3 linked regions of the Danio rerio genome follow. The protein of the gene in region 1 purifies or fractionates together with the protein of each later gene. This does not show direct contact. Links are inferred from orthologs where the notes say so. Each region holds a gene or a part of one and is shown in the gene's direction. Other genes may lie near its edges.

Region 1 (3,654 bases):
CCAATTTACACTTTTTAGTGAAATATAGGTGTCCTAATAGTGTTTTTAGCAGTGTGGGACACATATACGACTATTAACAGCTCAAAAAATGTGTTTTGGTGTTTCGTGACCCTTTAAATTGATTGAACAAAACAATTAAGATGTCCCATAAAAAAAAAATAAAAAAACTTCAAGAATTGTGTTGTTTTAGCTAGTTTTGTATGTATAAATGCAACAATGCAATTATTTGGAGCTCTTTTAAATATAGAAAATACTAAGAGAGTATATTGCACATTAAAATGACGTCATTATTTATTATTTTAAATTCTGCAGTTGGATTAGAGCTGAACAAAATATATTGCAATTTAAAAAAAAAAATATTATTATTATTATTTATTTTTTATATATTTTTTTGCTACAGGATCTGCAATGTTGAGTCTGCAATGTACAGTATGTTTCATGCAGTGGATGCTCTTCCAGTCTTAACCCAGTACTGGGAAACACCCATACACTTTGGCATTCACACACACACACACACTCATGCACTAAGGCCAATTTAGATCATCCAGTTCACCCATGCCACATGTGGGGTAAACCGGAGCACCCGGAGGAAGTCCATGACAACACGCGGAGAACATGCAAACTCCACACAGAAATGCCAACTGACCCAGCCGGGACTCAAACCAGCAACATTCTTGCTGTGAGGTGACAGTGTTAACCACTGAGCCACTGTGCTCCTCCTAAAGTACTTTTATATGCATAGGACTACAGAGGTTTTTGCAGACTGGAAAGCAGCAAAGCTCTGCTGCTTTCCTGCCGAGTCACACTCATCTCTCATCAGCATTTGCTTCAGTGTTTGACTGCTTTCAACCTTACTCTACAGCAACTCGCATGATTCTACACCCAGTCATGCAGTCATCAAACTACACTTTTGTTTGTTGTGAATACACGCCATCTAGTGGTGAATTTCATTTTTGTTCATTTAATTTTTTTATTTGAAAACAAAGGTATAATATATGGTTGTTTGTTGTTCAAAAAGTCACCTAAAAACCACAACTCAAATTATAGTGTAGATTATAAATATTAATAATGTAGTCATACATGTACTTTTATTTTGCTGGATGATCACAGTATTCATCACAAAATGTTCTGTCTTTCTCTCTCTTATTCCATCAGTTTGTGAAATGTGGCTACGCTGGGTCCAACTTCCCAGAGCACATCTTCCCGGCACTGGTGGGCCGACCTATCATCCGATCCACAGCTAAAGTGGGCAACATTGAGATTAAGGTGAGCTCCACATTCACACTCTGCCAGGTCACATAATTAACATGGCGTTTGTTTGTTTTTTTTAAATAATGTCAGAGATTTCTGTGCTTTTATGCCTTTGTTTACTGTTGAAGACAAATTTATGAGCCCTCCTGTGAAATTTGAATTCTTTTTCAAATATTTCCCAAGTGATCTTTTACATTTTTCACAGTATCTCCTTTTATATTTTTCTTCTGAAGAAAGTTGTATTTCATTTGCTTTGGCTGAATAAAAAAAATAAATAATAAAAACATTTTAAAAAATGTATACATAAGGTTAATATTATAAGTATTGCTGGGCAACGATACATTTTTCAAATTGTGAATATTCACAAGGTTATATGTGATTAATCACATTATGCACAAAAATCAATAGTGATTTCAAAAGAAGTGTACTTTTATTTTAAAAGTACCGAGTAAGTGTATGAACAAGTACAAAAACATAACAGTCCCATAACATTTTACAGTTAAAATTTTTATTTTAATTATTTATTTATTTATTTATTTATTTATTTATTTATTTATTTATTTATTTATTTATAGCAGTTTGGAAGTGTTTTAAACTGAAAATTTGCATTTAAGAGTTTACCATTTTGATCCATAATTTTTGTACCATCCTGTTCATATCATGGCAGCAGCGACTGTCCTAGCCCCGCCGCAAATGTTTTCATTGGTTGAGAAGTGAGATGATGCCTTTCTCAAGCCAATACTAAACAATCACCCTACCGCTTGTGACCTATGGCTTCCCAGTATGTGTAGAGCCAGTGTTTTAACATAGTTTGAAAATATTATATACTAAAAAACAGCTGCCTTAACATTTGATAAAATAATAATTAATTATATTAATAAGTTAACGCAAAACATAAAAAATCCATTTGGTTGCAGAACAAACCACTGTTGTCCAATGATTAATTAATGGAACTTGCCTGGTTAACCTAATTAACCTGGTTAAGCCTTCAAATTACTCTAGTATCTTGCAAAATATCCAGTAAAATATTTTGTACTGTCATCATGGCAAAGACAAAATTATTTAGTTATTAGAAAAAGAGGTATTAAAATCATTATGTTTAATTTAACAAATGTGTTGAAATGTTTCTCTCTATTAAACAGCACTTAAGATGGATGGATGGATGGATGGATGGATGTGGATGGGTGGATAGATAGATAGATAGATAGATAGATAGATAGATAGATAGATAGATAGATAGATAGATTGATTGATTGATTGATTGATTGATTGATTGATTGATTGATTGATTAATTGATTGATTCAGTCATTCTCAGGAGGGCAAATAGTTTTGTCTTCAACAGTAGGAACTACTTTTAAAATTTAATTTGCTTTGTTATTTGAAAGAAAGTCTTTAACGTCTCCTATTTGAATTTCTTGTCATATTTACGCTCTTTTTCTTCTGGTTCTTCACATGGTGAAGTAGAATAACAAAAAGATGGTAAGTGCAGTCTGCGTGCGCTGTGTTTAACACTTACCGCCTGCTGAGGAGATTGTGTTGCACCTTGCCGTATTTCAGGCGTGTTCATATAGTTGCCTGTCTTTAGGGTTTTTTAGTTCTTTTATTTGTTTTGTAAAATCTCTAATGCCTTATAACCATGGCTGGGTGATTTAGCAAAACATTTATTCAATCATTTTCCTTCAGCTTAGTCCCTTATTTATCAGGGGTCACCACAGTGGAATGAACAAAAGAAAACAAACAAATCAGAAACTTCAACATGCTTCTAAAGTAGCTTATCTAAATGTAATTGTGACTCACATGTAGCAGAATTCTCTTCCTCCATGGAGCAAATGTTTAATTAATTGCTTTTATTTAATTGTTTTTTTCAAATGACTGAAATAGTTGTACCATCATGTTACCAATTGCTAATTTGAAATGTATTTTTATTTTATAAAAAGAGAATTCACCTTCACTTTTTTATTTGATTTAGGTTATTTGAGAATTATTTCATTTGGAGAAGCACTATTTTATATCAATACATTTATAATTTTAGTTTAACCAAGCAGTTTATTATTATTATTATTTTTTTTTATTATTATTTTTTTTTATTATTTATCATTTGCATTGATACAACCATATGATAGTAATTTTATAATGACTATAAATAATTTATAAAGTGTTTATAGGTGTTTCCCAGTACTGGGTTGCGACTGGAAGGGCACGCGCTGCATAAAACATATGTTAGAATAGTTGGCAGCTCATTCCTCTGTGGTGACCTCTGAAATAGAAAATAGAGAAAGTGACCTCTGAAATAGAGAGTATATATATATATAAATATACTGCAAGTTAAAATGTTGGCGATGAGGTCTTAATGTATGGGCAGAGTCTTTAAAAAGGTCTTAAAATGTTTCGAATTTCATTCT
Region 2 (4,326 bases), on another chromosome or scaffold:
GATTGATTTTGCTTGTCATTTTTGCAGGATCATCATCATGCTGCTGCCCTTTTTCACTGTCCCTTTCCACATCATTTGGCCTTCATCATTTCCTGTCTTGTAGCAGTATTTTCACCTGTTTTTAAAATTGTAATAATTTTTGATGCATTAATTGTTGACTGGTTTTAATGATCAATTGTTTATTAGTGTTCTGTTGCTCTGTTATATTGAATTACTGCTACTGTTTTAGCATGGTTTACACAATAAACCTTTATTGTGAAGTTAAAGTTTTAGTTTCTTTATTTTTCTTGTACGTCTTGAACAGTTAGAACAACACTTGTGCAATTTTTGAAAATTTTTTACCCATTATAAAGTAGCACTGTTAAATATAATAAAATAACATTTAATAACTGTAAAATACTATACAGTAATAATGAAAGTAACGTTAAGATACCGTAGTTCTTCATGGTAAAAATGTACAATAAAATACTGTTTTCAGTTTTGCAGTATGTGCACCACTACTGTAATTAGTGTTACAGTAAAAATCAACAACAGTAAAATGATGTATTACATTTTACAGTAAATGTAATACTAATGTAATTAGTATAACAGTAATGTTACTGTTTTATGAAATACAGCAGCTACTGGATAATTGTTGCCAGTAACTTACTGTTAATTTAACAAGAAATCGTTTACAGTGCAGCGTCTATGGACAGAGTAAATTTGATGTTAATCTCTCTTCTGGCTGCCTTTTTAGTCTCACAGTATTTCTTCCACATTCTGACAATCTTGAGAACACAATTGTTGATTGTTTCTTTTATTTCAGCAAATAGGATTGTAAAAAAAAAATATTTTATTGTACTCTGCACTCTCAGAAATAAAGGTACAGGAACTGTCAGTGGGGCAGTACCTTTTCAAAGGGTATATCTGTACCTGAAGGGTCAATTATGATACTTCAAAGGTAATTTTTAGGTACATTTGGGCACAAATATGCACATTTGAGGTACCACTGTGGACTTTTTGGGTACAAATATGTATCTTTTGAAAGGGTACTACCCCAGTGACAGCTCCTGTACCTTTATTACTGAGTGAGTTATTTCTTTATTTCAGGGTGTGTACTAAGTGTACCCAATGACGACTACTATGGATGCCAATGGCTGCTTTCCGCCCACATTCTTCATTAATTTCGTTCAACAGAAGAAAAAAATAAAAACCACAAAAATAATGAGGATATTGTCATGTTTGGGTAAACTATCTTTTTAATAAATCACCAAAAAGTTACCTTGATTTGCCAGAGAGTGTAAATTTACAACAACTTTTTATCTTTAGAACTGTCCAGAAAGAAAAGTTATAAAATTATTTTTCATCGCGATCAAAATCTGCACTCTCCTGTGTGACCTGTGGAGCCTGTCCTGCTCACACACACACTCCCATCTCTCACCATTGTCTCCTGAATGACTTCAACACGGGCACGCCCACTGCTCTGCCGTGCGTACGCATGCGCGCTAAGCCGTGTGCCATTTCCTGGATTCCTTGACAGGCCGAAATCAGGGAGCAAGAGAGCAGTCGGAGTGAATTCGTGTCGACTGTCCAGAGTCCGCGAATTCAAGTCCGTCCAGCGTTCAACAACTAGCGAACATCTTTACGAAGATTTGACCGAGAAAGCGGAGCATCTGTTCAGGTAAAGGAGGCCCGTGTCATGCCTTTTTCCGTCAGCAGGGAGCGGACTCAACCGGCATCTTGAGAAAGGCCTTCCTGATCCTCAAATTTAACAGAGCACGAACATTTGTGTAACTTCAGTCGCGCTAAAATAGCGTTTGCGATTATATAAGGTTATACAGACTTTTAGCTTTATATCCGGGGTCGTTTTTTCTGCTTTCTGTGTGATTGTACTGGAATTGATGTGTTTTTCGCGTTAGCTTTCGGCTAATGTAGCAGGCAGACAGCTCGCGAACAGAAGCCCACGGCATCAGATATTGATCTTCTGCTTCATCCACGCCCTGAAAATCGGGAACTGACAGCCGTCATCCTGTTTTGCTGGTTGAAGAGGACTCTTTTTGGCTTTAGTGTGTGAATTCAAACGAAAAACTGTGTAGGTGTAGTTGAGGACATGGACTGACGGACGTGATTTAGCCCCGGGCTGTCAGTTTATCAGTGCTGGTTTGGGTAGTTTAGAGCAAATTTAAAGCTATTTACAAGAAATTCCAGAGCGCATACTCGGAAAAAGAAGTAATTAGGAGGGAATTAAAGTTGAGAGACATAAGTTTAATCAAAATGTGAAGTTCTAATATTTAATCATTTCTTTTCTGCTAAATAAAAAAGCAAAAACATAAATCTTGGCGTGTCACTAAAGTAGGATCGCGTTAAAAACAGGACTGGATCAGCTTGTGTCAGTATATCTTTCCCGCCTATTGTTCATATTCGACCCACTCCAATCCCATTCCAGGTTTTGCATTTGCTTGTTTAGAAACATTAATAGTCATGGTATTATTATTTGTGTGAACAGTTGTTTTATTATTTCAGTTTTTGTTTAATATAGAAAGGACACAGCATATGACTATATCGTAAAACAAAACCGAATCCCCACCCAGGTAGACTTGTTCTGTAATAACAGAAGTTAAATATAAGATTGCTGTAAAAAATGTATAAATAATAAAAAAGAATAATGTTAAAATAAATAAAGAGTAGAAGTTAAGTAACTTACAAATAAAAAACTATGACATCATGAGATGCATAAAGTCAGGCCCGGCTCTAACCAATTTGGCGGCCTAGGCAAGATTTCAGGTGGCGCCCTGTCACATCGCAGTAAAATTCCACTGCTAGTGTGTACATATAGTCATAAGAAACTAAATAGCTTTTTGATCGACTACTACAAGCTGGGAAAACGTCAGATAAATATGCCAAGCAATCAACAATATTGCTGAATATCTAATATTTACACATTTGCTTGAGGAAGGAATGATGGGGGTAGTTACATTACTATTACTATTTTCCATAACATCTATGCCCTTCCATAACATTAGCTGATGTTAAAACTAACAGATAGCACTATAGCTATTTATTGATTAGCAACCATGTTATGCCATACCTGTCAACAAATAGCTTCAAATAAATACATAGTAAATATTAGAAAATATTGACAATAAAGTAAAAGGTTTAGCCTATTAAAATCAATGGCCTATACTGAAATTAAATAAAGCTATAAAATCTCCTTCACTTTTGATTGTATTTGCATATTGATTAAAGTTACTAGTTATTTAGTGAAGAGCTGCAAATGAATCTCTCATTGTGTTTTGTTTGATAACAGAGGTGTTACTTTAAGAATGCACTGATCTATAATGAAAGCATTTGTCTTCTTTAGTAACTGTTTGTGCTCATTTAAGAGAAAAATTATTTGTGTTTAAAATAAAACACGCCGAACGAACATGTTTACACATTATTAAGGGTATTTGTCTGTTTAAACGCACACCCGAATCACCAAAGTATCCTAAACTTTCGCTCCTTTACAAATGGCGTGTAGAGAAGCTGATCTGGGAACAGTTTATCATACGGAGTGCGTCAATAAGTTAGCATGCATACAGATGCACTGAATGTGGTTGCGACAATCGATACCAGCTTTAATGAAAAGAAGTGAATGCAGAATCTTTATATTAATTTTATCATGCTTTCAAGCCAAAATAAAGCGAAAGCATGGCTAATTATCTTCACCAGCTCTTGCAATTCTTTCACATTTGAGATCGGCTCTGTATTGATGCTACTTTCACTTTTCATATAAAGATTAAACGGGGGAAATATGGAAAAAATTAAAGTGATAGTGGGCAAAAACGGGAGGGTTGACAGGTATGTGTCATGCTAATTGGTAATGGTGTATCAATCATCGCTTGGATACAGCAAAATAATCATCTTTATCGTAACATTATTCTGTCGTTGTCAAGTTTTTCTTCCTCTTCTTTTTCTTTTTTGCCTCCCCTGTGCACCAGGCAGTTTGGCATTTTGGCATGTTAAGCTTGTTGACCGATCAAAAAAACAAACCGTGTAGCACAGTGGTGTCAAAGTCAATTCCTGGAGGGCCGGAGCCCTGCAGAGTTTAGTTCCAACCCTGCTTCAACACACCTATTTGGAGGTTTCAAACGAGCCTGAAGGACTCAATTAGTTTGATCAGGTGTGTTTAATTAGGGTTGAAACTAAACTGTGCAGAGCTGCGGCCCTCCAGGAACTGGCTTTGACACCTGTGTTGTAGCAGGTAAAGTCTAATTATTCGAATGGGGGTGTCTTAGGTGATTAGGCTACCGTTATATTATCATTATTATTTAATACTACTACTACTTAGTAGGCTTTGCACTTTGC
Region 3 (4,166 bases), on another chromosome or scaffold:
ACCCACACACACTTGCACAAATACTCAAAACTTCTCTAAAGCTAGAATGACTCCAGTTCATAAAGGTTCTGAACATTGCTTTTCTGTTGAAGTTAGTGTGCAGAAAAAAAAAACATGTGAGAAAAAAGCGCGTTTATAGCAAGGCAATCTTTAGAAAAGTTTATTTATTTATTTATCTATTGTTGATATTTTAATTAACTTTTATCTTTTTATAATATAATAAAAAGTGTTACTAGTATTAAATAACAAAAAGCAGAAATCTTGTTTATGTAAAATAATATTGAACATTTTCTTTATTATTATCATTTATTTGTTCTCAAGATTGCTTTTGCTATACATAGGCAATACTTATAATGTGATATGTGTATTTAGATGTAATGATTTTTTTTCTTTCTAAATATTAACATTATTTATTTTAATACCACAGTATAGGTATCAGTGTTGGTATTGTTAAAATGGGTATTGTTTGTTGTTGTATAAAAAAGTATTGGAACCATATTGAAAAGAAAAAAGAAAAACAGTATCACTCATCCCCAATGTGGCACGCTAGGTTATTAGTATCTGACTGTATGTTATTAACAATATTGGTGAGTATTTTTTCCCCAATTCAATTTAGCTTTATTTGTATGGCGCTTTTACAATGCAGATTGTGTCAAAGCAGCTTCGCATAAATGGTCATAGTAACTGGAACAGGGTAGTTCAGTTTAAGTGTTTAAGTTCAGTTCAGTTTAGCTCAGTTCAGTGTGGTTTAAAATCACTACAGAGAGTCCAAACACTTAAGAGCAAATTCATCGATGCGTAGCTCTACCGATTTTGTAACTTGTTTTTATTCTATTATCTTATCTGTTTTCATTAAGCATGTACTTGAAGTTTTAGTAATTATGTTTTTGCTATTTATATTTATTTTTGCGGTAGTAAAACATGCATTTAGTCTTTAGTAATTTGTATTCTAGATTTTAGTTTAGATTGTTGGGTGTTTCCCAGTGATTGGTTTGCCGCTGGAAGGGCATCCGCTGTGTAAAACATATGCTGGATAAGTTGGTGGTTCATTCCGCTGCATGTGTCGACCCCTAATTAATAAAGGGACTCAGCTAAAAAGAAAGCGAATTAATTTTAGTTTGGTTTTGGATGAAAATACATTAACATTTATTTATTTGTATAGAGGGGTCACGGTAGAAACATTTTTGAATCTCTAAGATTCAATAAAACCGTTTTTTAATACGAAAAACATTTTAATATTCAAAAGAACCTGTTTTCTTCTAAAAAGAGAACCCTTAGTGGATAAAGTCTGAGGGTGGCGCTGCTCACAAATCATACAGAGAGTTCACCTCACCGAAGAATGCAAACACGGAAGCGTCTTCTGATCTGGACTATACTGTACATATTTTTACATCTGTCTGATCAGAAATGTGTACCGGTTGTGTCCAGAAGCAATATCCCGACAGGGTGAGTTATGATCATCTGTGACTGCAACAACTCATGCACATCTGTCGCTTGCTATTTTTCTTTCTATGTGCTGGTTGCTGGTTTTCAGCCAACATCACTGTGCTGTTTGCGCCATGGTCATTTCAAAAGTTTGATGCCTTAATGCTAGCCCAACAAACACATATCCGTTGTAGCGATGTCTGCACAACGTTGTATTTTTTTAAAGGGAACGTTGTCTCTTACGTGCTCGCTACATTGTCACAACGTAGAAATGTAAGACGTGAGAAGGCTGTAGCAACGTTGTCGTGCGACATTCAGCAACCGCGAGGCGGCGTTCTTACTACTTGTATTAATATTTTTTTGTGGCAGTTTATCAATACTGCCTAGAATACAGGATAAGCAACAATTCTTTTCCAGTATTGCTAAATATGAAATATTATTCATTTATTTTACCAAAATTACATACAATTAAATAAATTTAGAGATACAGGGAAAACAGGTTTGAGTTAACAGAAGTCAGAGTTAGTCTCTGAATACTTACTTAAATTATGAGAAGAGAAAGAACAGGCCCTGTAGTTGTGGCGTTGCTCGCTATAAATGGAATGTTAAACTTAGTGTCATTTCAATAACAGCTGTACAAAATAATAAAGTAATTTTTCATAAGCATGATCTATTTTCCACATTATGGACATGCTGTTTTAGGTAACATAACTACATTTAATAGTAAATAGAGTAGTATACTTCTTACCTCATCCAATTCTTCTTTCCATAGATCAGGAATTACAGCAACACTGATCTGAGGTGAATTCAACAGCTGAAAACATTCTGAAAGACAAGTTACATAAGTAATTTGAAAACAACAGTGAGTGGTTAAACAATAGAGTTTTATGCAACTTACGCATAATTAAAATCCAGAAATTATCAATAGAAGATTACCTCCATGTAAAAATAGCCTGTTGAGTAAAGAAAAGAGTGGGTTTTAAATAAAACATTAAAAGACCAATTAAAATAGAAATTTAGACTAGCAGACCTTTTAATTACTATCTATATTAATTAGGCATATGAACATTAATTTATATACTTTAACTTGTAGGGATAGCTCACCCAAAACTGACAATTCTGCCATTTAAGCCTCATCCTTTATTTGTTGCAAACTTATTTAGCTTTTTTTCTGCTAAACAATAAAGAAGATATATTAAATAAAGCTGGAAAACTGTAACTGTAATTCCATAGTGTTTTCCTACTATGAAAGCAAATGCTTACAGTCTTTAGTGTTCAACAGAATAAAGAAACTTAAAGGTTTGGAATCACTTATTATTTACAGGGCAAATAATTCGTGAGTACATATCATTTTTAAATTAACTGTTCCTTTAACGGGACGCAATCTACACAGAGATGTTTTGTTTTTAAAAGTTATTTTGTGTGTTTTGTAAATAGTGGGTCGGCTCGTGTGATGAAGTATCATACTAACTGATCACGATAGATATGGAAAAAAATGAACTTCAAAAACATTATTGTCCATTTGATTAAAGACAAGGCGTAGGTAAATAATCAGGAAATGTTTTATCGAGAGATTTAACATGTGATGTTGGAAAAGATTGTTGTCGAAATCGTAGGTTTGTTTGAATATTCACGATTTACGTATCTTATTTAGCAAGAAGAAATAAAGCAATACTCACGTCTCCTCGGTCGTTGATGAATGAGACGACGGCTTGTTGAAATTTAAACTGATTCAGCTGTGACCAGTAAATGTTGTACAGTGGTCGTCCACGCCACCTAAGCACAACCTAAAGCATGCGACCCTCATGATGTTTAAATGGCAACCTTATGACATCGTTGTGAACACCTTTAGCAACAACGTAGAATCCTCAACCTTTTTGCAATGTTGGTACAACGTTGTAGGAAGGTCGCTACGTTGAGGCAACGTTGTGTGTTTGTTGGGAGGTTGTTTATTCGCTGTCCTTTAAAGCAGCTACATTTAATGGAAGAAACTGAAGGTAAGTATAATTTAAAAAACAATTGCCTTGCTTCCTTGGGTGTTTACTTTGAGAAATCTAGATATGATTATTATTATTATTATTATTATTACATTTTACAAGTTTCAAAAAACGTCACTTGTAGATATGCAAATAAGTTATAATTTAATTAAACATGCAGTAATTTGCATGCATTTCTTGCGCAAAAATTAACACACACACATATATATATATATATATATATATATATATATATATATATATATATATTTTTTTTTTTTTTTTTTTTTTTTACTCAGAGTGGGTATCTGTTTTTATTATTATGCTTGAAAAGCATACAAAATACCATGTAACAGTAAGAGGATAAATCATTGTACAATTACAAAAAAGTCAAAATATCAGCAAGAAAACAGAGAGAAAAATGTAATAATAATAATACAAAATATATAAATAATTCTAGCAGTTCATTCTAAAGTGGCGACCCCAGATTAATAAAGGGTCTAAGCTGAAAAGAAAATGAATGAATAAATTCAATTAAAAAAATAAAACAGAGGGGGGGCACTCTTTAAAAAAGATCTTCAGTTTAAGGGCTTTTTTATAATGCATAAGCTTCAAGAAGACCTAGAGTGGGTATCTTTTGTCACTTTATTACTAAGAAAATACTGCAAACAGCCAGAAGTGTTTTGTTATATATAGAAAATGTTTTTCTGTCTGTGCCAGTGCGTGGTTAGTGCGTAGACACATGCACTCTCGTGCTCTTGGTGA

What was found.
Region 2: the proteins of actr2b (region 1) and arpc1a purify together in Homo sapiens (affinity purification with mass spectrometry; 9 studies listed by BioGRID and IntAct, counting the BioPlex papers as one, with this or other methods). This does not show direct contact. The link is inferred for Danio rerio from reciprocal best matches to the Homo sapiens genes ACTR2 and ARPC1A.
Region 3: the proteins of actr2b (region 1) and churc1 purify together in Homo sapiens (affinity purification with mass spectrometry; 4 studies listed by BioGRID and IntAct, with this or other methods). This does not show direct contact. The link is inferred for Danio rerio from reciprocal best matches to the Homo sapiens genes ACTR2 and CHURC1.

Annotation. Positions count from the first base shown.
Region 1 is NC_133188.1:6,002,819-6,006,472, reverse strand, and holds part of actr2b (actin-related protein 2-B), read left to right. Parts: intron 1-1,155; coding exon 1,156-1,266; intron 1,267-2,716; coding exon of another isoform or gene 2,717-2,731; intron 2,732-3,654. UniProt on the Homo sapiens protein: ATP-binding component of the Arp2/3 complex, a multiprotein complex that mediates actin polymerization upon stimulation by nucleation-promoting factor (NPF).
Region 2 is NC_133178.1:39,749,351-39,753,676, forward strand, and holds the start of arpc1a (actin-related protein 2/3 complex subunit 1A), read left to right. Parts: upstream 1-1,489; 5' UTR 1,490-1,660; intron 1,661-4,326. UniProt on the Homo sapiens protein: Probably functions as a component of the Arp2/3 complex which is involved in regulation of actin polymerization and together with an activating nucleation-promoting factor (NPF) mediates the formation of branched actin networks.
Region 3 is NC_133195.1:28,615,875-28,620,040, reverse strand, and holds the start of churc1 (protein Churchill), read left to right. Parts: upstream 1-1,349; 5' UTR 1,350-1,407; coding exon 1,408-1,446; intron 1,447-1,961; exon of another isoform or gene 1,962-2,016; intron 2,017-2,173; exon of another isoform or gene 2,174-2,250; intron 2,251-2,323; exon of another isoform or gene 2,324-2,378; intron 2,379-3,104; exon of another isoform or gene 3,105-3,186; intron 3,187-4,166. UniProt on the Homo sapiens protein: Transcriptional activator that mediates FGF signaling during neural development. Plays a role in the regulation of cell movement.